Linked DNA regions of Nothobranchius furzeri. The protein of the gene in region 1 purifies or fractionates together with the protein of each later gene. This does not show direct contact. Links are inferred from orthologs where the notes say so. Each region holds a gene or a part of one and is shown in the gene's direction. Other genes may lie near its edges. The genes, in order: stx8, sybl1, napab, vamp8, vti1a and vamp3.

Region 1 (4,359 bases):
GCCAATCAGCACTTAGTAGCGTACATCACACGGCATAACGCCGAGTTTCTCATAAATATGGCGACGGAAGCGGAGTTTGCTGTGGCTCTTTCCTCTGTTCTAAATGACTTGAATGTCTTTAAAATAACAACAAGTAGAAGCGCTAAAAGCCTTTCTTCTGAAAAAAAAAAGATGTTTGCACCGTTGCCAGATGCCTTTTTCATTACAGTTACCCCCAAATTCCACTACCTCCGTTCCGCTCCGCTCCGCTCCGCTCCGGTCCGCCCCCGCCTTCCACAGCCGCTCGCTTCCGAACTCAATTTTTACTGGTACCCGCTCTACAACGGCTCCGCTCCGGTGCGGAGACCTGAGGTGGGCAAACAAGCATGCGCGGGATTTTCGAGATCTTGCGATACAGTCCGAGCAATAAACGCGGAAGTTAGATCCAAACACCCGTTGTGTGGGAGAAGCATCGGCATGAACTGTTTAATCTGCCCATCATTTGTGTTGAGAGATCGGCAGTGTTTGGATCAACTGAGTGTGACTACTTTGATAGTAGAAAGTGTATTTATGGCTTATTTTTGTGCATTTAAAGTTCAGCCGCCATTGATAGTTGTTAAAAGTTGTTAAACCTGTGCATATGAAACAAAAAAACGCCTTTTGTTTATCGATTTATTGTGAAAAACGGAAGTTGTGCTTGCTCCTTTTCCTGTTGGGCGGTTGTGATTTCTGTCCATTTACTGCGGAGGTGCTCCGGCGTCCGGCAAAAATAGGATTGATTCTATTTTTGCCGGACGCCGGAACAGAGGGCGGGGCACTGCGCCGCGCTGCCGGAGCACGGCCGCAGTAGTGGAATTGCTCTGATTGACAACAACGGGACCGATTTTGCTCCGGCGTTCGTGTCGGAGCGGAGGTAGTGGAATTTGGGGGTTAAACAACTACAGCATTGCGCGGCACAGTCGGCATTTCAGTTTTTTTCTGATTGGTTACTTTTGAGCTGCCTAGTCCCGCCCCTCATGCGCCTCTCTGCCTGTGTTACCAGACTCTCTCTGTGCAGAGTTAAACAGAGGATGAGTCTGGCAGGCCAGGCTGCTCCTTGGCTTCAAAACATGTAGATCATAATGGCCTCTTGGTGTGGGGAGGCTGAGCAGGCGAACTTGTGACCAACTGTCTTATACATATTTGTTGTTCCTCTGATTATTGCTTCTCTATATGAATCATTTTGCTTATCTCTTTTTTTTTTTTTGCACCAAGTACTGCTGCAATTTCCAAATGTTGTTATTTCTCACATGTATGGCAATAAACCCCCTTCTGATTCTGACTCTGACGTTCCAAATAGGTGCTAGTGGAAGGATTATGAAAATGTCAAAAAGACCATAAACACTAGTAAAATTCACCTTTTAATGTATTTTAGACATTTTTAGGTCACATTTAGCATTTGATGTGCACCTTTCATAGCAATGTATTTTTGACAAAGTTATAAAGATATCAAAAAAGATAACTTAAACACATACACTCATTTTTTTAAGCTGTGGTAGAATTTTTCATCAAGCTGAGCCTGAAACATGTTTTTCTTTGAGCTTCAGAAGATCAGAGGCAACACCAGAAGCCCATTGATGGAAGAAAAAGACACCTTAAGGAAACTTTAGGATTTTGTTGAACACAACTTAATAATTATCAAAAATTTTCAAACAAAATGTTCGATGTGAAAAATTAATAGTTTCATTGCAGCTGTTGTTGGAGGTTGTGTCCGAGCTCCAGTGCGTTTTGGCACAGCTGGAAATTCATCAATGAATTGAGATGTTTCATTTGGGCCAAAGCTGAATCAGGGAACTTGGCAGCGGCTGACTAGCATCATGCTTTATGACTCGTTGGAGTGGCATGCGGCAGAAATGGCTCAGTGTCTACACCCTTTGCCTGACAGTAAAGGAAGAGTTTCTTCACTCTAAATTGTTGCCTGATGCTCAGATGATGATGTGGGAGTCTCCAGGGGCGCCATGCTTACGGCTCTCTCATGTCTTCTTGTTTCAACGCTTTTCATCCCCAGACAGACACGCTTTGCTTTCCTTCCTTGAATTCATGCATCTTAATTAGTCCATTTCAGTCTAAACACAAACTGTCTTACCAACGGGGGATGACTCGCTCTTATTCAGGTGTTTTCTTGACACTGAGACAAGTACGATGCTGAGTACAGTTGTGGGAATTTAGTGATTTAGCACAAATTTAGAAGAACAAATCCATGACTCATTCAGATTATTTGACCCTTTTGCCATCTAAAGCAACTATAAACCATTATTCCAGGGCTTAAGAAGTATATATGTTCTAGTTTCACTCATTTAAATGTATTTTTAAAAAGTCACCACACTGATTTTGTTGTGAAACTGAATATAGAAGCTAGCAACTTTGTCTTATTTTTGCTTTTTCTTTTTTATTTTATAAGGCTACTGGATATTACCTGTCATCACTGCTAAAGTTAAGATAAAAAACAGACTTTTTACACTGGAGCTGTGTTCTGTAGTGACTCTCTTGATTTATAACAGGAGTAATGAGGCATGCTGCTCTGGATGTAATTGCTCACATGTTTCTTCATCTGTTTATTCATAGTTTTCTGTCAGTGTGACAGTTGGGCTCTTGAGAGAGACTGATGGATGGCCTTTACAGGAAAAGATGTTGTTTTTAGCAGAATTTTGTTTTGATACGCCCGTCTTAATACTTCTGAGCAGATTTGTAAAAAATGTGGTTAAATTTGTGGTCAAATCAGCCATTTTATACGGCAGTCATGGGTGAAATGGGTTGGCATTATCCGTAAACAATGGCATTCTTTAAAAACAATACCATAGTCAGAATTTGGTCGTCCTCCAGCAGTTGTCTGATTTTATTTCTGGCTCCAGACCTCTGGAGATGCCACGATAACACAAGCCAAGCAAATCACGCGGCTTCATCTGGACAACCTTCAAGACTTAAAGTTCTGCTCTAGAGACCCTGGCCAAACATGTGTACACAAATACACACACATATGAACACACACACACACACATACAGAAAAATAGAAACATAAATATCAACAGGGTATCCGCGGGTCTTTAATAAGTCTTAAAAAGTCTTAAATTAGCTTTTCCAAATTTAAGGCCTTGAAAATCCTTAAAAATGACAAATAATCCTTAAATACAGTTTCCAAAGGTCTTAAATTACCAACGACCCAATATTTCTATGAAATTTTCGTGAATTTCGAGTGTTCAGCATTTTTTGTGTATGATGTTGGCGTAAGCGGAACCGTACACATTCAGTTGGTTGTGAAAGGGGGCTATTTTTAAATGAGCACATTAGCTGGTTAAGCTAGTGGGAGCTTGCGCCATGGGGAAGTGCAAATTTAATGGTAACTGGATGGCTAATCCCACGTTCGCGACGTGGTTAGCACCGGTTCCAGCCAATAGCTGGAAAATATAGCTTAAATTTAATTTAAAAAATTGCTTAAATTTGGTCAAAGTGGCCTTAAAAAGATCTTAAAAAGTCTTAAATTTGGCTCCCTTAAACCTGCAGATACCCTGAAAACTATTTTTTTAAAGCCTAGTCTTGCAAAAGGGTGGATGATTACTTGCACACAATCCTCTACTGTGCGTTTATAACCTCTGCCCTTTGAATTAGCCGACTTTTACAACACCAAGTATAAAAATGGTTATTCAGAAACTAATTAATTAATTTAAACGTCTTCTTTTCCTGTCTGTCTCAGAAATCATCGATGACCTCGCACAGCTCGTCGACACGACGGACAGCAGGATTCGAAATGAAACACGAAGGGTGAAGCTGGTGGAGACCAAGTCAGCGTCCTGTGGTGAGCCTACTTTGTTTCAGAGTTACCCAACAGGAGGCGGCCTGCAGCTTGAACTGCTGTTCTTTAAGCTAGAGTGGTGTACTACGAAGGTTCACTCAAATGGGAGGGAGAGCTTAGCACAGCACGTATACACCCACCCCCGCCCCCAGACCTCTGCGCCCCACTCATGCGACACATTAGGGTTTGTGGTTGAGTACCTCTAGGAAATGGTTGAAAGCATAAAGCAAATGTATAGATAACAACAAGCTACCAACTTTGATTTTCTTTGAAGGTTTAGGAACAATTAATCATCTGTTAAGAGTAGAGATCCTTCGATCTGATTATGTGATTTTCAAATGATTGGAATCGGGTGGAAAAGATCGGATATAACCTTCTAAAACAACAAGCATGGTCTTTTAAAATCATCCTGAGTTATTGAAATGTAAAGACAATGGCTTAGTTTTCATTTTAACAAGTTTCATGGCATCAGTATTCATCGTTGCATAGATGACAACACCACAAGGTCACATAATTAGCAGCGTGCAGGTAAGTAACACACCATAACATTA
Region 2 (4,891 bases), on another chromosome or scaffold:
GTTAGCTATATTTAAAACAAGCAAAGATTTAGAAATATTTTTATGGATCCCATTTTATTCATTTGACAACATCACAAGAATATTTTCAGTTTGTTCTTCTGTAATGCAAGATTTCGTTTTTAATAATCCACTTTTATTGATCTAAAAAAGTTGCACAATATTTGAGAACGTACATTATTTTTTTAAATATAACCTTCTGCTGTCTTCAAATCTCACTTAATTTCAGGGAACACTAAAGACGGACAAAAACGGTTGGTTTTTCATATATCAGTATCAACTGATCTTGTAATATTTTTTCCCATATTGTCCAGTCCCACTGCTGAATGTCAAAATTATTATTGACACTTAAGGGGGCTGCCCATCACCCAGAGACTGATGTATTTTATATTTTTCCTTTTTGTAATTTTTTTTTAATCTGAGAGACAAAATCGCCTCTTAGAGTTGAACATTCCGTTTCTCCTCCAGGACACTGTTTATAGTTCTGACTGAATTAAATACAGAGTCAAATGTGACATTTTATTTCACGGTGAAGACAACAGAAGACAAGTCTTGCCTTGCTGTGCATGACCTGCTACTCTCCTTCCTAGCAAGAGGGTTATTTTCTCACTCTGCTTCCGGATGAATACTTTCTGATGTAAAAAACGAAGCGAAACAAACATCTGGTGAAGTTTTTTTTTCCCGTTGTGTTGTGCCCAAACAAAAGCGTGACCGTCAAAACAGAGGCATGTATCAAACCGCAACTTGGGATCCTGTAAACATTCAAATACAGTTCTAAAAGCTAATGTCTACATTTGCTGTTTTAAATATTAATCAATGTTTATCGTATCTATGATGAACGCTTATTACTCATTTTATTACTGAACTGATACACAGGCCGACATTATAAAAAAAAGGGGTGAGCTTCGCACGCACGACGTAAATCTGCAGTAACGGACTGAGTTCAGGTGAAGAGTCGTGCTAACTACCTAGCTAGCTACTGAAGGTATCCACGTGAGGAGTAAACTTAAGGGGTTACGTTTAGCCCCTATGTATCGATCATTTCCTCCCAAGTGGAGTCGGTTTACCGTCAAGATCACTTGGTCTATATGTAAACTGTGACACTTTAAAATGTCCTACCATTTCAAGCTTTGGTTTCTTTTCCATTTCTCCGGCCATGCTTCAGGCTTTTTCCCCCTTCTTCTTCTTCGGGTGTTGTATTGCGGGTGGCATACGTGCATTTCTGCCACCTACTGTGCTGGAGGGGGTCTATCGCACTCTTGATGGGTCACACTGATCAGTCCTGAGTTGTTGATCCTCATCTTTGTCTGACAGGCGTAAAGCGCAAACAAATTTCTAAATTCTATTTAAATATTTTAACATTTGGGTAAGCAGATGTTCGAGTTCGTAACAAATATGTATAACTTTAGATTATTTGTACAAAAGTAGTTGTTCATTTTGGGTAAATAATTTGTTTTATTTGAGTAAACTACAAATACTTAAATTTATCTGAAAAAATAAAATACAGTTTTAGTCTGGTAGTTCTTCCTTTACGGTATCAACACATTATTGATCTGAAAAACGTCCACAAACCAATTTTATGGACGATTTGTTCGCCTGAAAGTCTTTCAAAAGGGCCAATTTAACGCACACCTTCTATTGCTGTAATCAGAACAGAATTGCGCATGAAAACATGTGACGTTGAACGTCACGTGTTTGTCTGAAAAGAATTGTAGTTCAATAACAGAACCAAATGCGTTAAAATGTGGCTTTAGAAACTACATTACCCAATAGTGGGTTGAGGTCATTTCCGGTTTTTTGATTTTGCTAGTCAGAAGTCACTCAAAAAGGATTAGCTAGCAGCTCAAACAGCTTATGTGGCTATTAAAACTCTACGAGATACTTTGAGCATCGCTGACACATTGAGGTAATACATTTATTTGTGTTTTCTGTGGTTGTTTGGTTTATTTTGTTACCATGACATAACGTAACATCACACCTCCCTAACGCAGCTGTGTTTTGTTGAACAACATTAGCTAGCTAGTTTTTCTCCAAGCTTTTGTTTTGTCTCTCTAGAAATTACTTGAGTTTAACACACGAGCTGGCGGCTGCTCGCCTGTATTTGAATATTTCAGATGAACACGATTTTTCTTATTTGTTTAAACAAGCTCCTGCTTGCCCATATGGCTTTATTGGCCCTAATATCCACCCATCTCTATACTTCCGTAATTTTACTGTCTACAGGTACATAGCTGAATCCCCCCAGCTGTTGCCATGGCAATCCTGTTTGCTGTGGTGGCTCGTGGAACCACTATTCTGGCGAAGCATGCTTGGTGCGGTGGGAACTTCCTGGAAGTCACAGAGCAGATTTTGGCCAAAATTCCTTCAGAGAACAACAAGCTGACCTACAGCCACGGCAGGTAAAATCCTAACGCAGTGCATCTGTCCAGAAGCTGTTTCAGAAACACTCTTGGTGACAGATCTCAATGACTTTCTCCTTTTTGTTTGTTTTTATAGCTATCTCTTTCATTACATCTGCCATGACAGAATCATATACCTGTGCATTACTGATGATGTGAGTATACAACAACGTTACCTGCCAAATAAGGATACTTATCTACTCACGAATATATAGTGTCACAGGAAAATGCATCTTTTTAATCATGTAGCCTCCTGATTTAGATTGAGTAGTTCTTTATGTCCTGCTTTAAAACAGCCAGACTTTCTCATACGCTTTTAAAGTTGGATGATTAATAATTCTAAAGTCTTTCAGGTTTTTTTTTTCCTTTGAACTGATTTCTGAGGATTGTTTTGGTTCTGTTTGTTAAGCTTTAAGTTATTTATCTGTGGCGTATAATTCATTCATGCATTAAAAAAGCCTTAGATACTAACAGGTGTTGTGTTGTGGTTTAACAAACAACTTGGCAACGGGCCAGTTAGGATCTTTAGGCACTTTGCTACCAGCAGCCTGCCACAGACACTATTTTTGTTCCCATTTATTTAGTATAATCTGTAAAAAGTAACACAGTGTTGCAGTTGGTAGCAGTGTTGCCTCGCTGCAAGGTCGAAGGTCAAAATCTGTCCTTTCTGTGTGTAGTTTGTATGTTCTCCACATGCATGTGTGGGTTTTCATGGATAATGCATTGTCCACTGAATCAAAACGTTCACATTAAGGCTGACTGGAGACTTTGTCCCTAGGTTTGAGTGAGTGTGTGACTGGTTGTTTGTCTTTCTGTGTGATGGACTAGCCTGATGACTGCTAGGTTAGACACCAGCTCCCGTGACCCTAGTTAGTTAGACCGAAGCGGTTCAGATAATGGATGGATCAATAACGAAATAACACTGAAAAGTTTACGTCCTGTCAGGTCTTTGATTGTTTTTAAAAGTATTTCTCAAACAAAGCTTTGGTACTTTACACCTGCTGTTCTTTAGGTCTTCTTTTGCCCATTGGTTCACATTCCTCATTTTTTCAAGAGCATGCTGCACAACATCCTGTCATGGTCAGGTATGAGAAGAGGAAATGAGTGGAGAATCTACCAAAGTCCAAAAGAACACTTTAAACGAGCGTCAGAAAGTCTGGTGGTTTAGTGATCAATGCCACTAGAAAACGTCAGTCTGCTTCCTTTCAAGCAAAAATTAAAAAGACAAATCTGTGTGTTTCAAAATGTTATTATTAAAGCAGAACACTCACACTGTTCCACCCTTTTTAGTGAATCTTGGTTTGTTTTAACTCACTTTATTTTTATTTTTTGGTGGCAGGACTTTGAGAGATCACGTGCGTTCAGCTTCCTCAGTGAAGTCAAGAAGCGTTTCCAAACGACGTACGGCTCCCGAGCTCAAACAGCTCTACCCTACGCCATGAACAGCGAGTTCTCCTCAACACTAGCAGCTCAGTTGGTGGGTGCAGCAAAAGGCTGAGGACATTCAGAAAAAAATTTGCAGACTAAATGTTAGTCAAACATTCAAGTATTATTATGAAGCGCGTTTAAAAATGGCTGTCACTGACCAGAGTCTTTAAGGGATATAATAAAAGAAATGAGTGAAATAGCACAAGACCATAAAGGTAGAGGAAACCAGAATAAAAGTGTAAAAGCTAATAAGGAATTTATGTTCAAGTCAAAGTCTCCAGAAAACCTCTCGGGGTGGGGGTGCGTTAAATCAGCTGTTTCCTGATCAGAAAAGCCCTTCACTGCCAGCGTTTTTCAGCGTTTTCACAGTTTTTTTAAGAGTCACCAAACATTCTGCTGTATGATGATGTCAGCGCCAAAACTATCAAAACAAAGCGGAGACTCGCCTCTCACATCAGGAAGAATCCGCGCGTTTCGAGCGTTATCCGTTCTTTCATAATCCGTTGTTGAACTGTGATCGGCAGAAGCTTTTCCGGTTCGCGCCTCACTTTTTTTACAGCAGCGGCCCAAAACGATCTCCTAACACAGGGATGTTCTGCTTCCTGATCACGTGACGTGTGAGGTATGCAGATGAAGATCGGCTTTAGAGCTGAGATGTTTGTTCTTACGGTGCGGGGGCTCGTCCGACGCCCACACAGTAAAAATGAGTTAATAGATTTTTTTTACTGATCTGGGGAACTAATTTTGAAAGAGAGAGATTTGCTCTTTCAATTGATTTTTTTTTAAGACTTTTTACCTGTACCTGGTAATTTGGTGTGGGTGTTTGCTGTGCTGAGCATTTATAAACTTGTTAAAAAAAAACTCAATTGTCTTAAATATCCACCAAATTATTATAGTGAAGCTACACTTGTACGCACAGTTGTTTCCCCACCTGTGGGTTTTCCAGTCATTAGGAAGTGGGCCCTTTGCTTTTGTGCACAACATTTGTCTTAAGCAGTGATGGGAATAACGCCGTTTAAAATAACGGCGTTGCTAACGGTGTTCTTTTTTTGTGTAATGGAATAATC
Region 3 (4,805 bases), on another chromosome or scaffold:
GAATATCAGTAAATGTTGGAATACTCTTGGATGAGAGGGGGTATGCTTGGGAATTCGTTGGAAAACGAGCCTGTTTACGGTGTGATGCGGCAGTGTGTCGCTTCTTTTGCGGTAGCAGTGCGGTTCGTGTCTGCTGAACAGTTAGCAGATATCGCAGCTTTGTAGCGGATATTGGGATTAATGGAGAAATTGTTACATTGTAACAAACTCACCCGAGACGTTAGAGGTGCAGGCAGCGCGGGGTCTCCAGGACAGCCTCGCACGGGCTGCTCAACAGGACCCAACTACTGGCAGGAAACGGCAGACTTCCGCTCTGCCTGATTGAAATCCATGTTGTTTATCGAGACTTTCTTTACACACAAATACCCATTCGGAACATTAAACGGTTTTTGAACATTTTTGTTGTGTTAATTAGTGCATTCTTAAATTTGACATATTCTTCATGTTAACTTGTTTTCATTTTTAAAACTCAAAAAACATCAATAGAAAGGCAGGAACAGCAGAGGAAGCCTGTGGGGAGAAATTGCTTAAAATGAAATCATAAAAGAAACTGGATCACAAATGTAAAAAAATATAAAAGCAGTCATGTTAACAAATGCCAGCAGATTTGTTAGATAAATGCAACCCAGTCTTGAACTGCAATCAGATTATATGATTTTGGCTAAGAAAAGAACAAACTAATCTACAAAAAGCCTAAGCAAAATACTGTAACATAATCTACAAGAAAACATTCCTTTTCCATATTTTAAATAATTTTTGTATAGTTCTAAAATACGTGATTATTTTTGTAAATTTTAAAAAGGTATTTGAATGTTTGACTCATGTAGTTACCTACCACAACCCATAGCCCTAAAATATGTTTGTCATGTATTTTTCAACAAAATATTTTACACACATTTAATTCACTGTGCTATAATGCAAAGCCTGGAAAACCACTTAACATAGTTGTTATCTATTATTTATGTTAAAATTGTAAAGATTTCAGCTGACAAACAGTTTCATTATGATGCTAACCCATTTTGATTAAAAATGTCTCTTTATAATGGAACTGGCATTGACTAAAGGAAAGCATTTTCTTATTATAATTCTAATCAATATTCCTTTAAAACTGCACTTTTGAAGATATTTACGCTATTACGTTTTATTACAACATTTATGCTTAAATATTGTCACCTTTAATGTCTGATTGCTTATAGAAAAATAATTGGCTGTTGAAAACAGATAACACAAGGGAACTGTTTTATATAGATTGTCATGAACGCACTGTAATGATCCTGAGACAGATTAGAAGCGATTCCTTTGTTTCTACAGCAAATATTAACAACGAACATGTTTCTTAATTAAATTATCGATTGATATATTGTGTTGCAGCATGGTCTACAATCAGTTTATAACATGAAACATTATAGATTTGTAATGGACCAACTCTGGACCGTACGAGCAGCACCTGAAGGCAGCAGGGCTGTGACCGCCCTCCCATTGTCACGTGACAGAGAAAGCGCTGGCTGCTGATGTGACACTGCTGTTAGCAATACTTAGCAACTTTGTTGACTTTAGTATTTTTTCGCCCCCCTTTAGATTCAGAAAAACAAGTAAAGCAGAATGGATAACAGTGGGAAAGAAAAAGAAGCTACAGCTTTAATGGCGGAGGCGGAGAAGAAAGTTAAATCATCTCAGTCGTTTTTCGGGTCGCTGTTTGGGTGAGTTTTAGTTAGCTGATGTTTAGCTTCTGCTTTCAAGCTGAGGGCCAGCTATGCGGAAGGTGACCACCTAACACCAGGGCTGATGGCTGGGCACAACAGGACTGGAGCTGCTGTTAAGATGTTGTGGTATTGAGAGTATTTGTCTACGGACGTAAGGTTATTTCCCCGGATTTCTGCTGACCATAACGTCTGCAAACAACAAAGACTAACACGTAGCCGTTTATCCCAGTAAACTGAGAAAAATTACACTGAACAAACCGTTGTTTGACATGGACGATAACAGAATACTAAATTCGTTTTTATTTAAGTATGACTGTAAAAAAATATTTTTTTAAAAAGTGTGATCACATTAGCTCTGCTGTAGCACCATCTGCTGGCTGTTCCGTATTGTGCAAATCGTCACAATGTTTACAGTAGAAACCTCAAAGTTGTATCAAATCTAATGAAAATTATTTATTGATATTTGCCTTTTGCCATAAAAATGTTGGTGCGGAAATATTGTCATTATTGGACAACAATCTCAACAGATGAAATACTATCTACTATTTTTATTTTGAAAAGTAATTACTTATTATCCAGTCTTGTTTATTGCATTTACACGATCCTAACCTGCTAATAACCAGTATCTTATAGTTGTTGTTTTTTTACACGTTTTTTCTTTCACACAGGAGCTCCTCCAAGCTGGAAGAGGCCTGTGATCTGTATGTGAGGGCAGCCAACATGTACAAAATGGCCAAAAACTGGTGTGGTAAGAGGACAGTTACTTTCCCTTCCTTGTGCATATCTGTTGATATGTTTTATCTTTTAATTTGTGTTTTCTTTTCAGCTGCAGGAAATGCGTTTGCTCAGGCTGCTCATCTTCACCTGCAAATGCAGAGTAAACACGATGCAGCAACTAATCTCATAGATGCTGGAAATGCCTTCAAAAAAGCAGATCCACAAGGTAAGAGGTCACTCAATTTTACATGGAGCTCTTTGTAAAAGGTTTTAAAATCTGGAAGGAAATACATTTTTGGACTTTTTAAAATTAACTTCATATAAAGTGCAGCCAATCTAATTAATACCTGGTTTGGCAGCAAGTTTGATCCCATGACTGTGTACACTTATCTACAGTCTTTAGTTTACCCCATACTAGCTTAGTTCCAAGCATCTTGTGTGTCTGAAATTTAGCTGTCTTCTATAGACTTACCCCTGATCGAGACTCTTTATTTTTAAAACTAAGGGTAGTTTTTATACATGCAGATTTTGAACAACATCAATGCCTGTTTGCAGCAGTTTATTTGTGCCTGTGCAGGTGGCACAACTCAAAACTAAATGTGATATAAGTAAGATGAAACGTCAAAGACAAATACCAGGAATTCTTGAGCAGTCAGAAATGTTAAACTCCTCAACCTGTGCAGAAGTTTCTGGGTAAGCCTGATTCTGATGTTTAGGGTAAATGTTTCCTACAGAAGTGCATTTAAAGACCAAGTTCACTGAGAAACTTTTTTTTACTTATTATTATGTAAATATGATTGGAAGCTCTGAGTTTTGTGTACAGGCTGAACGTGAAAAAAGTCTTCTACCCATATTTCCTGCATTAGTCGCCCATAGAAAATAGATGGGGAAATGTTTGAGTTAGAAAGTACAGTCAGCTCTACATCAAGCTGTGAATTAACATTCATGGACTCGCCCATCTTGGCTCACGACGGGGGAAGGCTGTTGTTGGTTTAGCACCCAGAAAAGAGCAGAGCTAGTAGACACTAACTGTTAGCATGAGCAACTCCACAACATAGCAGAACTCCTTTAGGCTTGTGTTATTTGAGGAGATAACATATCAGTGTTGCAGAACAGTCAGTGGTAGAGTTGTGTTAATGTTAGTCAATCAGAGGTGAGATGTCCGAACATCAGGAATTCTGCTCACTTCTGCTTCCTGAAACAGGAGCATGAGATGTTGTTTCACAAGCCATTCATGCATTCTAGAGATCACTGCAGATGTATTGAGAAAATGAGTGAACTTTGTCTAAAGTCTGTTTTCTGCAGTGGAAAGAAATTTCCTTTTACTTATTTCTTGTCATTCACTGAACTGATGTTTTTCTCTCAACAGAGGCCATAAACTGCCTAAACCGAGCTATTGAAATATACACGGATATGGTGAGGTTTTTAATACAAATCCCCCTCCTAAGCTATTATAGTTTTATTGATTTGTGTTTTTAATTTTGTTTCGTCCTTGCTCCTGTGTAATTTTAGGGTCGTTTCACCATCGCTGCTAAACACCACATCACCATCGCTGAGATTTATGAGACGGAGTTGGTGGACATCGACAAGGTCAGAGACACAGCTGATGGTTATCACGTTGTTTATATTTGATCAAATGTTTACATGGTCATTTGAATTTTTTTTTTTCGGGGGTGGTGGTGTTTCAGGCTGTTGCTCATTATGAACAAGCAGCAGATTATTACAAAGGCGAAGAATCCACCAGGTAAATATTTGACGTAACACATCTGAGCAATACTTCTGTCCACTTTTGGGTTTAAAGGGAGACTAGGCAGTTTTGGCTTGCTTTTAGCACCCCCTAGTGCCCAATTAGTAGAAACAAAAACAAAACCTATCTACTTGCTGTGCGTTTTTCTTTTTAACACCTTGATCTAACAGCTGAAATGTCTCCCCAGCCTTCATTAGTGTCTACAGGACACAAAATTCATCAATAAACTAAACAGTTTAGCTGTGTTCATGATCTAAAACATGCAGGAAGCATGCTAGAACCAGACTGCAGCATCAGGTATGTCGGCTCACCTTTTCCCCCCGGACTGGCACTCTGAAGTTGCAAATGCGGTATTCTGACCACAGAGGACGGTGGGGGTCTGAGTGACATTTCATTAACCCTGTTAAGGGTCATTTTAGCAAATAATGACTCAAGAAAATTATTTAAAAATACCAAAAAGTTGCCTAGTATCCCTTTAAATAGACCTGAAACAAAAATGTATAAAGATTTAGCAAATGTTGATACTATAATTTAAATTTCACACCTTGGTTTATTTATTTATTTCTCTTTTATATCAGTTCAGCCAACAAGTGCCTTCTGAAAGTAGCGACATATGCAGCTCAGCTGGAACAGTACCC
Region 4 (5,099 bases), on another chromosome or scaffold:
TTTGGGGGGGCTGAGCAATGTGAATATACATGCAGCAGTATGGAATCAAAATGTTATGATCATTCTGTGACTGATCCCTCAAGTTTAAGGATGTAAATGAATAAGTTCTTCTAGATCTGCACTTGGCTGACTGACAGGAAAGTGATCCTCAACAGAAGAGCTGAAAGCTCATCAGCAGATGTTCCATTTTGAAGAAAAGTCATCTTGTGAATGTTTGAACAGATGACAAGAACCACATGTCTCAGGCTGAACCATCAACCTGCAAATGAAGCTGCATGTAAGCTAAAAAGACACATTCACAGGTGTGGACACCCCGTTTGGACATTTCATCCAATTAAATTCATGTTGGTCAGGTGATGACAAAATAATTTTGTAGGATAATAACAGCTTTCACAGAGGAGAGAAAGTGTGAACATTTAAGAAACAAGAACAGAAATGTCTGCCCAACCTTAGTTTTAAATAGAAAGTAGGCCTTTCTGTTTCTCTGCTGGATCGAATCAACTGGACCTTAGAAAATGAAACCCACATGAATGTTTTAGTCTAACAGCTTTCGATAGGCATGCATTACAAATAAAACCAGAAGGAAAAATGTGCCTGGCCAGAGAAAGGGTCTGGGAACTCTGCTATTTAAATAACCCCACCCAGAAATCTAACCGAGCCAATCAGCGCTGAGTAGCGTTCGTCACACACCACAACGCCGAGTTTGTCACAAACACCCTCCTTTGCCAGATTTATGAATGACTTTAAACAATATTTTTCCTCGCTTAAGCATCTAAAATCAGACCGATTTGTTACAATTCATGACAAAATCTCATCTCTCGGTCTTAGACTATTAGGCTCTTATCTTCTGTGCTACAGGATTGTATTTGTATTTGCAGGAGTATTATTTGGATGTTGTGTTTGCATTAACCCCCCGTCTTGTGTCTTGATTTTTGTAAAGTCCCTTTTATTTTTGTTATGTCCCTTTTGTTTTCACGTATCTATTTTATGTTGTACATAGATGCTGTCATGTTATTCACTAAGCTGTTGGTTTTGGCTGTTGTATTGACGAGACTGTAATCCTCAACGAGAATATGTATCTTGTTCAATTATAAATAAAGAACATGGCGACTGAATGGGGAGTTCGCTGCGGCTCTTTCCTCTGTTCTAGATGACTTTGGCACGTCTTTAAAACAACAAGTAGAAGCACTAAAAGCCTTACTTCTAAGAAAGATGGCGCTGTCGCCAGACGCCATTTTTGACTACAGCTAAAAAACTACTGCATTGCGCGGTACTGTCTGCATTTCTGTCTTTTTTGTGATTGGTGATTTTTGAGCTTCCTAGTCCCGCCCCTCAAGTGCCTCTCTGCCTGTGAGGAACCAGACACTCTCTGCAGGATTAAACAGGACCAGTCTGGCAGGCCAGGCTAAAACCTATGAGGAAAACACACACACAGCACTCACTTATGAGTGTTATTGTCTTGTTTAAAAGCTGAACCACTTTCTATGTAACAACTATTATTACATTATAATAGTTTAGCACAGATGTCTGCTGTGGTGAATAAAAAGTATTTATTTAAAACTTAGGCCTACTGCTAATGTGAATTTGTTATGTTTGAATTGCTCTTATTTTTGCAGACGTTTGTTTAGTTGAGCATCGGATTAAATCACAATCCAACTCTCACCACTGACTCACAAATCAGCAAAGCTTCAGACAAATAAACGGATGAATAAATATTCTATGTGCCCTTGAAAGGTAATTACACTCAGTTTATCAACAGCAGACACAATACAGGAGTACATCTTCTAAATAAAAGCATAGATGTTTCACAATAAAACAAACGATGGCCCAGGTTCATAACAAAATGTATAAACGCAGAAGTAAAAATAGGAAGAGCATTAAATAATTAAATAAATAAAATAATACACAGTTTAAAAAACTTAATTAAAATCCAAGTGATTTGGTTAACACGTTTTATCTCCTGTTTTAAATTATGAAACAAATGTAGTACCGTTTTATTTTATTTAACTTTTCTAACGTAATGCTTGTAAATGTTAATAAACTTACTTTAAACCGTTTAATGAGCTTCACGTTTATCGCTTTAATGAAACCGGATGTGGGTTTGAGCTGAAAACTCGAAGCGAAGGAATTCAGAGTGAAGAGAAAAAAACAGGAAGTGAAACCAAGGAGGAGCGAGTGAGAGAGAGAGAGAGAGAGAGAGAGACACCTGTAGGAGCGTCAAACTTTTAGGTTTTACATCATTTTAAAGGTTTTAAACTAAAGAACCGTGTCTGTGGGTCTTCTGAAGGAGGATCTAGTTTCTGACAGGATGGACGCGGACCCGGTAGGTGATGTTTTTCTTGTTTTGTTGCAGCGACTCCATAACGAGGCGCCATGTAAGGAGCAGGTGTGTTTGTTCAGGTCACATGAAGAAAATGAATAATGTTTGAGTTGAGGGGACACCTGTAACTTACGACCCTGTTTTCCCTGAACAATGGCGTCCACTCGGAAGCTGCTCTGCGGTCCTGCTGTTGGACATTTACTTAAGTTAATGTTTGAAAGTGTGAAGTCGGTGTTTAAATGAGCGTTTTAAACGCTGTTGCAGCTTAAAGCTGTTTGTTAGCTCAAACTTAGCTAGCTAACTTAGCTCAGAGATGCTGTAGCATCTTGTTCCTGCTGGCTGGAGAGGTCAGAGGATCAGATACTTCAGAAGGTGGAAATAATTTGTTTTGGACTGAAACCTTGGTCTGTCCACATACGTTTGGTGTGTTTTCTAAGCAGGCGTGCAAACAACAGATGTAAAAGTAATGTTGTTGCTATTTAAGATAAACTGATCTGTATCATCTTATTTTTTCAGGGCATCATCATTGAGGCACTTGGATTCAATTTCTGTAGTTTTGAACCACTTTAGGACACAAACAAATGTTTTTTTATTCTGGTCAGCTGGATATCTAACGGTGGTTTTTGACTGTTAAATGTTTGTGACCAAGTGAGAAAAGCTTTGCATGCAAATCTGAAGCAGGACTGATCCTCTGCTGCTGCTGGGAACAGAGGTGTTTCAGTCTTTATAATAGAGACAGAACAGATTAAAGCTGAAAGATCAGGATTTACACTCCATTCAAATCTCACATGTGCTCACAGATTAAGGGAATTTCACATTTGACTAGTTAAAGAGTCGGCATTTTAAATGGCTCACTGAGGATATAGGTTACATTTATTTTGCAATCAAATGAAAGTTTTCCTTTAAATTTACCTTTTAAATCATAGAGACCACATCTGTGCCAGCTTTGTAGTTGCCTGCTATCTAATTTTATTTCCTCTTAATCAGGTTTTACTGGAAGACCCAAGTTCGTCTTCATCTGCTTCCTCTCCAGCACATGCTGAGCTCTTTTAAATGAATCCTACCATCTTTATGCAGATGGCATCCAACTGTACATCTCCTTTAAGAACCATGAGATGTCTAAGCTACAGCTGTTAGTGTTTCCCCTAGGGATTTTTCCAGCTGTGGTGGTGGGGGGGGTAATGACACGACTCACCTTTATGTTAATATTGTTTTATTTGATGCACTCCACTTTGAACTACACCAGTACAGCAACTGCTGCATTTTAATGACTAGTATTGAAGGTGAATACCTCTTATTTATTATTGGAAATCCTTACTTTGGTTAAATAAATCAGTTGTTGAACCCCCCACTCCTCTGTTTGGTCTCCTTTCTTATTACAGCCCACCACTTCCAGTCTGGGTTGTAACAATCTGCAGACAGATTTCTGAGCATCTCCTCCTTTGGTACACAGATCCTCACTGAGCCATGTACTGTGAACAAATAGTTTCTCCGTGATATTATCCAGCAAGATCTTGTTTTTGTCAAAACAAGGGTGAGGTAATGAAAAAATAGAAATATTTCAATAAATTAACATTAAAATTATTTATATGCATAATTAAAAAAAAACATGTTTTGAAATATATAAAGTGCACCAAACTTGACTCAGTCCATTCAACAATTCTAAATGGACAATTATGTAACTCATCAATTAATTATTTGAAAGGATAATTTGTCAATTAAATGCTGAAAAAAATAAACAATACATTAATGAGGCAAGAACTTTTTAAACTTGGACATACCTACACCCACAAGTCTATTTTTACCTGGTTAAAACCATCTAGCTTATGTGCACTTTTTAAAACACTGCCCAGCAAACATTCGGACGTTTAATGACAGTTGAACGGTCACAACTGTAAAATAATATCACAGGAATTAGGAAAGAATAACATGACATCAACTCTATGTCCCTTGGCCGGACTCGAACCTGGATCCTCCAGAGTGAGAGTCACCCGCTCTCCCAGCTGAGCCATGACAGCAACTGCTGAATCTCAGATTTTTTTATACAGATAGCTAGAGAGTAAAGTGCGGAGTAAACTAACCAATCAGAGGACAGGGAAGATCTGCCACAGGCCACGCCTCCAGAGTGCCAAAACTCCTCACAGCCGAGCGAGCGGAATTAGAAACCGAGCGCGCAGAGGCTGCCGAGCGCGCAGAGAGGCTGCCGCGCGCGCACGTTTTCCTCTGCCGTGTGCTCGTTGGCAACGCGCGCACGCAGGTTTGTCACTTGTGCACATCCTTGTGCGCTCACAGACACAGTTTGCTCCCTCTCAGTGCACAAATGACCTCTCGCCATGTATATTTTCGCTCGCGAGTCCCGTTCACACGCGCACTGTGGACCCAATGCGCGTGCACGGGTTGTGGCACGGGTCTGACGCGATACTCTCTCCCCCAGAGATCGGTGGACTCAGTGGTCTCCTTTAAAAGCAGCTGAAAACTCACCTGTTCAGGCTGGCTTTGGTGTGACCTTAACTATTGCCCTTTTCTTATTCAGCTCTTTCTACCAATTCAGCCTTTCCCAGCATCCACTGATTACCTCTTTTTTAAAATAATTTTCTGTTTTTCTTTCCCAAAAATTTCTAATCACAATGAAAATTTTTCTTAAATATATGATATTTTTTAATAATTATTTAAAGTCTTTATTTTTTATTTTTTTATTTGCTCTTGTGAAGCGCCTTGTGATTTTTGTCTTAAGAGGCGCTAAATAAGATTGTTTTTTTTTCTTTCTGACTCGTCGTGC
Region 5 (4,359 bases), on another chromosome or scaffold:
ACCACGATAAGGTGACGGTTCAAGGAGGAACTTTTCTCCTCAAAATATTCCTAATGTCTTGCACTGAATTCAGTTCAGGTTACAGGCTTGTCCATGTTGTACATTTTGCTAATTTCTACTCTAAAAATGCCAACTTTGAGTTGTTTTAGATCAAGTGGAAGTACTGCTTTCTGGAGTCAAAGGAGGTGTCTCTTTGATCGTGTTTTGCTAGTTACCTTTACATTCATGTTACTATTTATACTGTTGCTGTCTCTTATCATAGTTTTCACACCTTTATTATTTACTGGACAACCACTGGACTGAACTGAACAAGGTAGGGTGTTTATTGGCATGAATCTGGATATATGATTCATATCCTAATACAGGGAAGACGATACAATATATTACTAAAAGCCAGACAAAATTTGCAATTTTTTTTAAGACTGAATTTAATTGGAAAATTCAGGCCAGACACTTCTAAAATAGTTTTATCACAAGATCGTGTTTAGTCAGAATGAAGGCGGCAGAAACTGCTGCCACCTAGCAGTCGGAGTTTGAACCACACTACACAAAGATGTACGGTAAATGTTTTCATGTAAATTATCAATAAAAAAATTGATACATTTTTTAAAAATATTGATTCAGAATCATGAAATGATATATCACGACATTTTGGTGTATCAATATTTTCTTACATTCCCATGAAAGGTACCTGGGTAAATAAGGTTTCTTGTATGATGTAAAAAAGGCTTGTCCTGTTTTTAGAGACGAAGGCTGGTCCTTAGGCTAAACCATATGTCACAAGGTAACAGAACAAAGTTAACATCACAATATGTGTGCACAATATCAATGTCACAAAGATCTGCTGGCAGGGACATCTGTTTACATACTGCTCTGATGGACTCTCATGGCTGCACCTGGTTTTACTGATGTGTCCGAAATGCTAACGCACACTGTGTAGTCATGAGTGTAATTATGCCAGACCACAAACTGAAAAGTAAGCAACAAGACTTAGCACAACCAAGATCATCATCTTAATAATTAAGAACTCACACAGTCACATGCTATTCCTAATATCTTGCACTTCTAGTTTTTCTAAACTGGAACATTTTGCTGCAGATATTTATTTCGTTTTTCTCATGTTAATAGGAATATTGTCAATAATCTAAACTCACAGAAATGCATCTTTAATTTTTAAGAATCCTGTCCCAAGTCTGAGCCACTTTCTTTTTTAGTTTTTTCATATTCAAATGTAATCCATTCATGGTGATGTGTCAGGAGGACAGCTTAAATCTTTTGTTAATATCCCAAACGCTTGGACATACAATCTTTAGATTTTTGATTAGAATCTTTTGAGGTGTTGAGGAGATCTGTTTTGGTGGCCTAAGGATCAGTGGGCGTTGTACCGGTCTGTCATGGTGAAGAGAAAGCTGAGCTAGGAGGAAAAGCTCTTGATTTACAAGCTGTTCAATGTTCCTGCCCTCACCTATGGTCACGAGCTTTGGGTAGTGACTGAAAGAATGAGATCACAGATACAAGCGACAAAATGAGTTTTCTCCACAGGGCGGCTGGGCTGTCCCTAGAGAACATTCGGGAGGGGCTCGGAGTAGACCCGCTGCTCCTCCACATCGAAAGGAGCCAATTGAGGTGGATCAGGCATCTGATTAGGAGACCTCCTGGAACCCTCCCTGGTGAGGTTTTCTGGGCACGTCCAGCCATGAGGAGGCTTAAATCAAGACCCAGGACACGCTGGAGGAACTATGTAACTCGGCTGGCCAGGGAACGCCCTGGGATTTCCCCAGAGGAGCTGGCCCAAGTGGTTGGGGAAAGGGAAGTGTGGGCCTCCCTGCTTAGGCTGCTGCCTCCGCGACCCGACCCCAGATAAGCAGATGAAAATGGATGAATGGGTGTTTTGTTTCATTTTTGTCCAGGCCCACACTGATTTATTTTTGATCTTGCAATTGTTTTCTTTGTGTTGTGATGTCAACACAGACCATGTCCTCTAACTTGCCTGTTACTACAAGCATATTCAATTTTGTCACTGTATGTTTCTGACATGCCGTAATTATAAAGTGTTTATAAAACGTAATTACAAAATTTCAAAATAAAGTGGTTAAAGGTCTGTAAATGTTACCAAAATGAATGTCACACATTTTACCGAAAATCCTAAAGTTGTTGTCTTGTTTTAATCTTTAACAACGATTATGTATTATTTGTGTTGTTTTTGGAAAAAAGAAGAAAGGATACCCACTCACTGAGCAGCCACATCAGACCTCTACATTTCATATTGTTTACTTTCATGGCAAAGAGCTAATTTTAGAGCAAAGACCAATTCAGCACGCATAGCGTGCGTTTGCGCTGTGGCTGTAAATGACTGTTGAAGGTACTATAGCTTTGGAAGTTGACGTCCTAATGAGTTTCTTTGGGTAATGTGGTAGAGCAGTCATGGGGTGAGGTGTAGAACAGTGTGTTAGTCATTCTGAGAGGGACTCATCCTTCTGGCAAGTGAGCAAAGCTGACACCTCCCTTCCCTTTGAGTTGGCATGAGGTGTCTCACAGCTCCTCAGCAGAAACCAACAAAGGCCTCATACACGCCATTACTAAGACACATCAAATGTTGGCTCGTCGTGTGGAGAGAATGTGTAAATATATCTTCAAATGTGTCCTCGTGTGTTGTTCTCTCCCAATGTCTTTTTCTTTCTCTTCCCCCGCCATCTCTTCCACTGTTGTGTGGGAGTCAGGCTGTTGTCATGAAGCGCTGTTCCCTCCGCCGGCTGATCAATATGTTTCTGTTTTTTTCTCTTTCAGAGGAGAAGACACAGCTGGTTCTAAATGTTGACAAACAGCTTGAAGAAGTCAGAGAGTTGGTATGTCTTTGATCAGTAATTTTCTCCTCGTCCCATTGCCTAAATTATGAATTTGTGGGAGGGGGAGGGGACAGTTTTCACCGGCACCAGACAGCAGCACCTGTATTATCCAGGCGGTGACATGACATGCAGACATGCACGCACTTCACGTGGCGGGAAAGGAGGCTTCCTCCTCACACGATTACTTCCCAGTAATCTGCTTTTAAGTGACACCCCTATGACACATTTCAAGCCATTATCTTGAGGTGGAAGACTTCATGTTGCTGTTAAAAAAAAAAAAAAGCAGTCACCAGATAGAGACAAATTGTTTTTGCGGTTGTCTTGTTATGCCGCGGTGATTAGTTTCCTCCAAATCTGCCAAGATGAGTTCTGTCGTCCCGATACATCAAATGTACCTTTTCCTCATCCACTGTGACAGTTTTGTTGGGCCCATTCATGTCACTGCAATTTAAAAAAAAGGGGGTGGGGGTGGGGGGTCTCGCATTTGATGGTGTATTTATTTACAGAACCACCTTACTCTGTTGGTGCTTTTATCACAGCTGAGTGACGTAAGCAGGTGGCATTTTTATTTTTTTTTACAAACAAAACCAAGTTAATGCTGCTCTTTTTAAATGTTTCATATTTTTTTATTTGCCTAATTGAAGTGTTTGCCATAAACATGTTTATTGTCATAGCTGGTAACTTTGTGAGTCACACAAAAAAAGAGGAACTTTGTTATATTTTTGTTGCATCTTAACATGAAAACTGTACGTTTTCTGAGTGATAAGTCAGTCGATTTTACGTTTAAAATTCATGCCAGGTTAATGTGTATTGCTAAAAATTGATTGAAAACTGTAGGAATGAACCTTGGAAATGTTTTGCCCACAAATAAAGTGCATCACTGGTGGTTTTCAGCTGGAGCAGATGGATTTGGAGGTGCGAGAGATCCCCGCCCAGAGCCGAGCCATGTACAACAGCAGGCTGAAGAGCTACAAGCAGGAAGTGGAGAAGCTGGAGAAAGACTTTGTAAGTACAACACGAATAGCATCACTTTATAAAGGAAATAGATGTTTGTTAATAACCATTAAGTGTTATTATGCAACTTTATTTCACAACATTTCTTCAAAGGAATAAATATACATGCAAGCCTTGTTAAAAGTTGCTGCAGTCAAACCCCATGTGGTTTATAGACAACCCAAACCAAACTCTAAGTGCACTCGTTTTTACCCACATAAACAGTCCAGCACTGAAGCTCAGTAGTGCATCCACAGAGGTTAATTCACAGTTTATATTTGAACTTGTGAGCAGTGTCCATTGAGAGCAGGTTGTGCATGTTTGTGTTTCAGCTCCAGAATCTGGCCTTGTTTAGTAATTCATAAATCCCTATTTATTTATTTATTTTTTTAACTTTATTTCAAAACTCTGTCAAAGCTTTATGAACAGTCCAGTCTTTTGGGTCACTTGTTTTTACTCTGTGTTTACTCAGTGTTGCTCAGGATACTTCACTTGATCAATACTAGTTTTGAACTAAGTG
Region 6 (5,142 bases), on another chromosome or scaffold:
GGATTTTCTGCTAGAGAGAGTTCAGTTTTTGATCGATTAAAGCAAGGCCAGGTCTTGAAGAAAAAAAGCAACCCCAGCCCTTCACACTACAGCTACCATGTTTGACTGTGGTCATTTTTTAAAATCTGAAACAGTGTTAATTTTATTCCAGATGTAACAAGCCACACATGCTTTTTACAGTTACACATTTGTTTCTTCAGTCTAAAGAATATTTTTGCAAAGATTTGGGGGATTCCGAACGTTAAACGTGTCTTTGATTTAACCATCTTTTGTACGTTCACTCTGTGTATCTTTTCAACTTGCATTTCTTGATTCTTTTCTGTGTTTGAAAAGAACCAAGAAATGCATGTCTTTGTTAATGGTGAGCAAGGGTTTTGTAGCGCTGAAATCTAGACAAACCATAGCAGTAGCAAAAGATTTCATTTTATTTTATTTTATTTATGGGATTGCTTGCCAGGCTAAGGGTTTTGACCACTGAATGCTATTGTGGAGGTGAGTTTGTCCCCTTGTCCATGTTTTATTGTTGAATCATGGTGTTGGGTATTTACATTTAATCAGTCCAGGCGTACCTCAAAGAAAGTCCAACACACACAAGGGGGTTAGGGATATTAGATTACCATTTACCAATATGATCAATCACCAATAATCAACAACCAGACTGCAAACTCGGAGAGAAAGGAGATACACACCAATGGGATGTCTGTTCGGTCTCTCGACGAGCAGAAGCTCGCAAAAAGGTTTTATTCAAAAGTAACATAGCACACACATTAAAGGAAAACACACATCCCTCCTTCACAGAAAGCAAACTTTCCCAGGTTCTTGGTATAACAGAGAAACGCTCCGTCTGGACTTCACTAGGGAGCTTTTTGTGATAACAGAACTGCAGACATACAAGGTCGAACTTCCCTGCCGGAGCCACAGAAAAGTAACAAAATATGAACAAGGAATGAACCTTCGTTTGAATTAAAAAACACCAGATGGTACCCAGACAAAATCATTTTCCATGCATCCAATACTGTTTTTATCCAACACATGGAGTCAAAGTGAGTATTGGAGTCATATAGAGGTTGTTTTGAGTTCTTTTGTTCTTGAATTCTTTAGAACATGTATTGCTTTTTCAGATCTTTCCACATACCTTGTGTTTTCAGACATTCTACTGAAGAGCTTTGCTTCCAAATGTATGGTGGTAATCAGACCTGGGTGTGGCAAATGTAACTCAACATTCCAAATAAAAGCTAGTCACAGTTAATCCATGATTTAGCAAGAGGAGAAGGGTTAAGTTAGGTTAGTTCATATCCCTTAATTTTTTAATGTGTTATTTTAAAACAGCATTTTTTATTTACTCAGGTCATCTTTGTATTGTGTTGGTATTAGTTTGCTGATCACTAACATTTAAGTGTAATTAAAAAGCATAAACAGAAAGAATCTGACAAAACATTTTCACAGCACAGTACACACAACAACAACCCGCACATTCATGGATACTCTGATAACCAACAGCCTGATAAATTCCTTTACTCCCTCTTAAATCAGTACATCACATGACCCTTCAGCAGCCAGCGAACCTGGACATCTATTTTTATTTTCCTTTTTTATGTAACTATAGTTGCACAGATCAAAATGAATTCTACATTAAAAGATGAGTTGTATCCAAATGAACACTGTAATTTAACACAGTAGCCTTTGTTTTCATGTCACACGTTGACCACGAGTTCACGGCTGTGTTCTCTTCTCATTTTTACTAAGCACACAAACCAAAAGTATATATATATATATATATATATATATATATATATATATATATATATATATATATATATATATATATAAGAGAGATTTAGGACATTACTCTTGCTTTTATTAGCTTCAATGCTCAAAAACGCTATTTTTTAAATTTATTTTTAAAGAATTTTGCTCATCAAATTGGAAAACATTGATGAAAAGTTATAAAAAAACTTGAAGTTCCTTATTTATACAACAGTTTTCCAAACTTATTGTTTAGGTCACATATCATAGGTGTAACATTTAATCACGTTTGAGGAATAAAAAGACAGAAACAGATTTAGTTGTTTCAAGAAGACTCTGACGTCATTTATGTTTGATTTTCCAATTCCCGACAGCCCGGAAGGCTTCACGACTAACGACCGCACTCGCTGTTACGGACTACTTTACAAACAAAAACAACAGCAGCGGTTTCGCTAAATTAAAATATCTTTTCAAAATGTAAGTATTTTATGTTTCATTCACAACGCCTTTTGAGTCAGCTCAACCAAAAAACTGTTTACTTTGTTTTATAGTATAATACGATGTGATTAAACAACGCCCAAAACTTTTTTACTAGCATGCAACAAGTGCTGCTAGCACTTAGCTTGGGCCTCAAACGTAAGCTAAGCTAGCTGTAGCATCGTTACATTGATACTTTTAACTTCGTTTAACAAAAACTTTATTGTGGTATCTTTTTTTATCAATCCGACGCCAAAAGAAACAAGTATATATACCACAAGCTTGACTAATCTCCACAGCTGCGCAACTTATTACTGAAGAGTTTCCTTCCGAAACTAGTGATTTTCCGTTTGTTTGGCCTTGCTAAGATAGCTACTTGCACCCAATTCGAGTGTTTGAAATGACAAGATGAATAAATCACACATTTTAATTGTTTTACTTCACGTGGAAGGTGTATTAACAGAAAGTAATGGTGACAATAACTTTAAACGGGGTGATCCCTTACATATTTTCCAAAGAAGTCACAAGTTAGTCTCATCAGTTTCTTTATATTTGTCATTAACACTGCAACATTTAGTCTCCTATTAGATCAAGATGTTTAATTTAGAGTCAGTCAGGAGAGGTTGAGACTTTTCTTATAGATTAGATTTAGATTTTGCACACACACATAGAATGATAAGTAATTGCATATGCTAACTCCATTTTAAGATAAATTTTACTGTAAAATGCTTTTACATATTTTGTTATTGGTGTATATATAAGGTGATATTAATAAAATAAGAGCATTCTGATTTAATCTTTTGATGATTGATGCTACAGTTTTGGTGACTACTGTCTAAACCTTTTATTCACATGCACACTGATATTATATGAATGCTATTATCTAAAGTTATTCTGTTTTAGAAACATTGTATTCATGTAGAAGTTTTAAACTGAAACAATGTACACCACTCGTGATTTTACTGTAAGGCTTTTAGTAGAAAATAAGAAAAATGTGGGTTTGAAGTAACAAAATTATAAACTTTCTAAAAATGTAGTACCTGGCTGGGATTAAATGATACTTTAAAAACTCGGTTTGGAAAATAAAGCCTAACTCGGTTTGGAAAATAAAGCCTAGTTGCAGATGTCCAAAATAAGTTTCTGCCATTGCAGATTTTTTACTATGCTTTTCTGAGTGCTGTTTTAACAAGGAGGAGTCTTTGTATTTTACTTCTGCTTCAAGGAGAGCTTTTCCACAAATATCTTCTCTGATGCCATAACCCAATTTATGTAGATCTTTCTTAACTACAATGATTATGTGAATAAAGTAATCAATTACTTTGTACAGATAATAGATTTAAGTGGTAATTCTTAGTTTTATTTATTCTAAATTCACATTTTTGACATTGTGTTAATAAAAATGATGCAGGGGCTTGTGCACAAATTGGAAACATGATCATAATTTTAATAAACAGTAAATATGTGCAATGGCTAAAGGAAAGGGAAGCTCAGTTACTCAAAGATTCAGAATTAAGTTGTGAACAACAAATCTGTTTTTGTTCCTTAAGTTTCCTCTCCTGTGGTTAAAGCAGCTTAAAGGGCATGAAAAACCAACAAGCAGTGAAAACCACACAGATGCATAGCACTAATGGTGCAGTGCTGTCTCAAACCAAAGTGGGGCAGCACATGACTATTGCAAAAGTTTGTATTTGCTGATAAATATCACATTCATTTCATTTTAGAAATAAAGAATTTAGCAGTGTTTAAAGATTAGATTTATATTTTAAACCCTTAAAATGGTTTTTAGAAGTAAACCAATAAAGCTGAAGAGCTCGACTTTTACACGTAACTTTGTTTTGTAAATGATGGCGTAAATGTCTGCTTACACTCTGATGTAGAAGTAACTGTATTGGTCACGTGTTTATCAGCAATGGTCCTAATTACCTGTGATCTGAAAATAACACCCAAGCACGCACTCCAAATTTTAGGTGCACTGCTCAAAGCTAGGAATGGCACACTTGCTTTTTTATTTGATCAAAACACACATACAATATTGTCCCAGAATGAGACTGATGATGCAAACTCATACACAGAAAGAGACGTGGATTGAATTGATTTTATTAGGTTGCATCGTGGCTTAAACCTCATTTCCTGTCCTGCAAGCTACCTGTTGCATCAGTTTAACCTGGCTTTCCACAGAATGCATAATTGCAGTGTAACATCTGCAAAGTGTAATATGCAGTGACGGATGACATCACGCACCTACACCCCTGCCCCTAGCCCCTCGCTGGAGGGCAAGAAGCCAGCACCTCCCCGTTGACCACTGTTGTGTTTATCTGTTAATTATCAATAAACAGAGCTAAATGGAGGTGAAATAAAATCAGTTAGCATGGTTAACACTAGGACTGGGCGATAGGGCCTAAAATTAATAACGATATATTAAGGATTCCACCTCGATAACGATAAATGGACGATAACTACAGTTATGCGCAGAAACAAAGTTGTCCACTAGATGGGGCTGTCCCATGTATTACATTGAGTCACATTTTTACGTGACTCAAGGTGATACAGCTTCTTAAAGGGACATGAGCATTGCCAACCTACACACATCTTTTCATTTTTCTTATTATCAAATTTATTGACATGAGAAAATTGTTTTCGATAAGAGTCAGAAATTTCGATAACGATGTAACGCACCCAAAGGCCAAGTATTTACATCACAAATGAACAGAAATTAACTTTTTATTTGCAGACACAAACTGTGTCACACATCCAGGGAAGCATTACATCTGTCTAGCCTCCAAACAAGAAAAGCAAGGATCTACGACATACAAGCAAATAAGTAGCCATAATGTGTTTTCCTTATCTTTTTAAGTAGTCCATGCAGAAAACAAGACTTTCTGCACTTTTACTCTGAATACAGTTTGCCTTCCTTGAATC

What was found.
Region 2: the proteins of stx8 (region 1) and sybl1 purify together in Homo sapiens (affinity purification with western blotting; 3 studies listed by BioGRID and IntAct, with this or other methods). This does not show direct contact. The link is inferred for Nothobranchius furzeri from reciprocal best matches to the Homo sapiens genes STX8 and VAMP7.
Region 3: the proteins of stx8 (region 1) and napab purify together in Homo sapiens (affinity purification with mass spectrometry; 4 studies listed by BioGRID and IntAct, with this or other methods). This does not show direct contact. The link is inferred for Nothobranchius furzeri from reciprocal best matches to the Homo sapiens genes STX8 and NAPA.
Region 4: the proteins of stx8 (region 1) and vamp8 purify together in Homo sapiens (co-immunoprecipitation; 5 studies listed by BioGRID and IntAct, with this or other methods). This does not show direct contact. The link is inferred for Nothobranchius furzeri from reciprocal best matches to the Homo sapiens genes STX8 and VAMP8.
Region 5: the proteins of stx8 (region 1) and vti1a purify together in Homo sapiens (affinity purification with mass spectrometry; 3 studies listed by BioGRID and IntAct, with this or other methods). This does not show direct contact. The link is inferred for Nothobranchius furzeri from reciprocal best matches to the Homo sapiens genes STX8 and VTI1A.
Region 6: the proteins of stx8 (region 1) and vamp3 purify together in Homo sapiens (co-immunoprecipitation; 3 studies listed by BioGRID and IntAct, with this or other methods). This does not show direct contact. The link is inferred for Nothobranchius furzeri from reciprocal best matches to the Homo sapiens genes STX8 and VAMP3.

Annotation. Positions count from the first base shown.
Region 1 is NC_091747.1:69,833,482-69,837,840, reverse strand, and holds part of stx8 (syntaxin-8), read left to right. Parts: intron 1-3,709; coding exon 3,710-3,811; intron 3,812-4,359. UniProt on the Homo sapiens protein: Vesicle trafficking protein that functions in the early secretory pathway, possibly by mediating retrograde transport from cis-Golgi membranes to the ER.
Region 2 is NC_091741.1:28,141,556-28,146,446, forward strand, and holds the start of sybl1 (vesicle-associated membrane protein 7), read left to right. Parts: upstream 1-1,718; 5' UTR 1,719-1,903; intron 1,904-2,220; 5' UTR 2,221-2,250; coding exon 2,251-2,396; intron 2,397-2,493; coding exon 2,494-2,551; intron 2,552-3,735; coding exon 3,736-3,873; intron 3,874-4,891. Other genes in the region: polr1d (DNA-directed RNA polymerases I and III subunit RPAC2), read right to left, coding at 1,117-1,155. UniProt on the Homo sapiens protein: Involved in the targeting and/or fusion of transport vesicles to their target membrane during transport of proteins from the early endosome to the lysosome. Required for heterotypic fusion of late endosomes with lysosomes and homotypic lysosomal fusion.
Region 3 is NC_091753.1:46,790,417-46,795,221, forward strand, and holds the start of napab (N-ethylmaleimide-sensitive factor attachment protein, alpha b), read left to right. Parts: upstream 1-1,477; 5' UTR 1,478-1,602; coding exon 1,603-1,700; intron 1,701-2,371; coding exon 2,372-2,646; intron 2,647-3,789; coding exon 3,790-3,836; intron 3,837-3,932; coding exon 3,933-4,010; intron 4,011-4,108; coding exon 4,109-4,164; intron 4,165-4,745; coding exon 4,746-4,805. UniProt on the Homo sapiens protein: Required for vesicular transport between the endoplasmic reticulum and the Golgi apparatus. Together with GNA12 promotes CDH5 localization to plasma membrane.
Region 4 is NC_091757.1:27,702,509-27,707,607, forward strand, and holds the start of vamp8 (vesicle-associated membrane protein 8), read left to right. Parts: upstream 1-2,122; 5' UTR 2,123-2,308; coding exon 2,309-2,323; intron 2,324-5,099. UniProt on the Homo sapiens protein: SNAREs, soluble N-ethylmaleimide-sensitive factor-attachment protein receptors, are essential proteins for fusion of cellular membranes.
Region 5 is NC_091756.1:39,739,305-39,743,663, reverse strand, and holds part of vti1a (vesicle transport through interaction with t-SNAREs homolog 1A), read left to right. Parts: intron 1-2,787; coding exon 2,788-2,846; intron 2,847-3,740; coding exon 3,741-3,851; intron 3,852-4,359. UniProt on the Homo sapiens protein: V-SNARE that mediates vesicle transport pathways through interactions with t-SNAREs on the target membrane. These interactions are proposed to mediate aspects of the specificity of vesicle trafficking and to promote fusion of the lipid bilayers.
Region 6 is NC_091743.1:51,774,501-51,779,642, forward strand, and holds the start of vamp3 (vesicle-associated membrane protein 3), read left to right. Parts: upstream 1-2,106; 5' UTR 2,107-2,221; coding exon 2,222-2,223; intron 2,224-5,142. UniProt on the Homo sapiens protein: SNARE involved in vesicular transport from the late endosomes to the trans-Golgi network.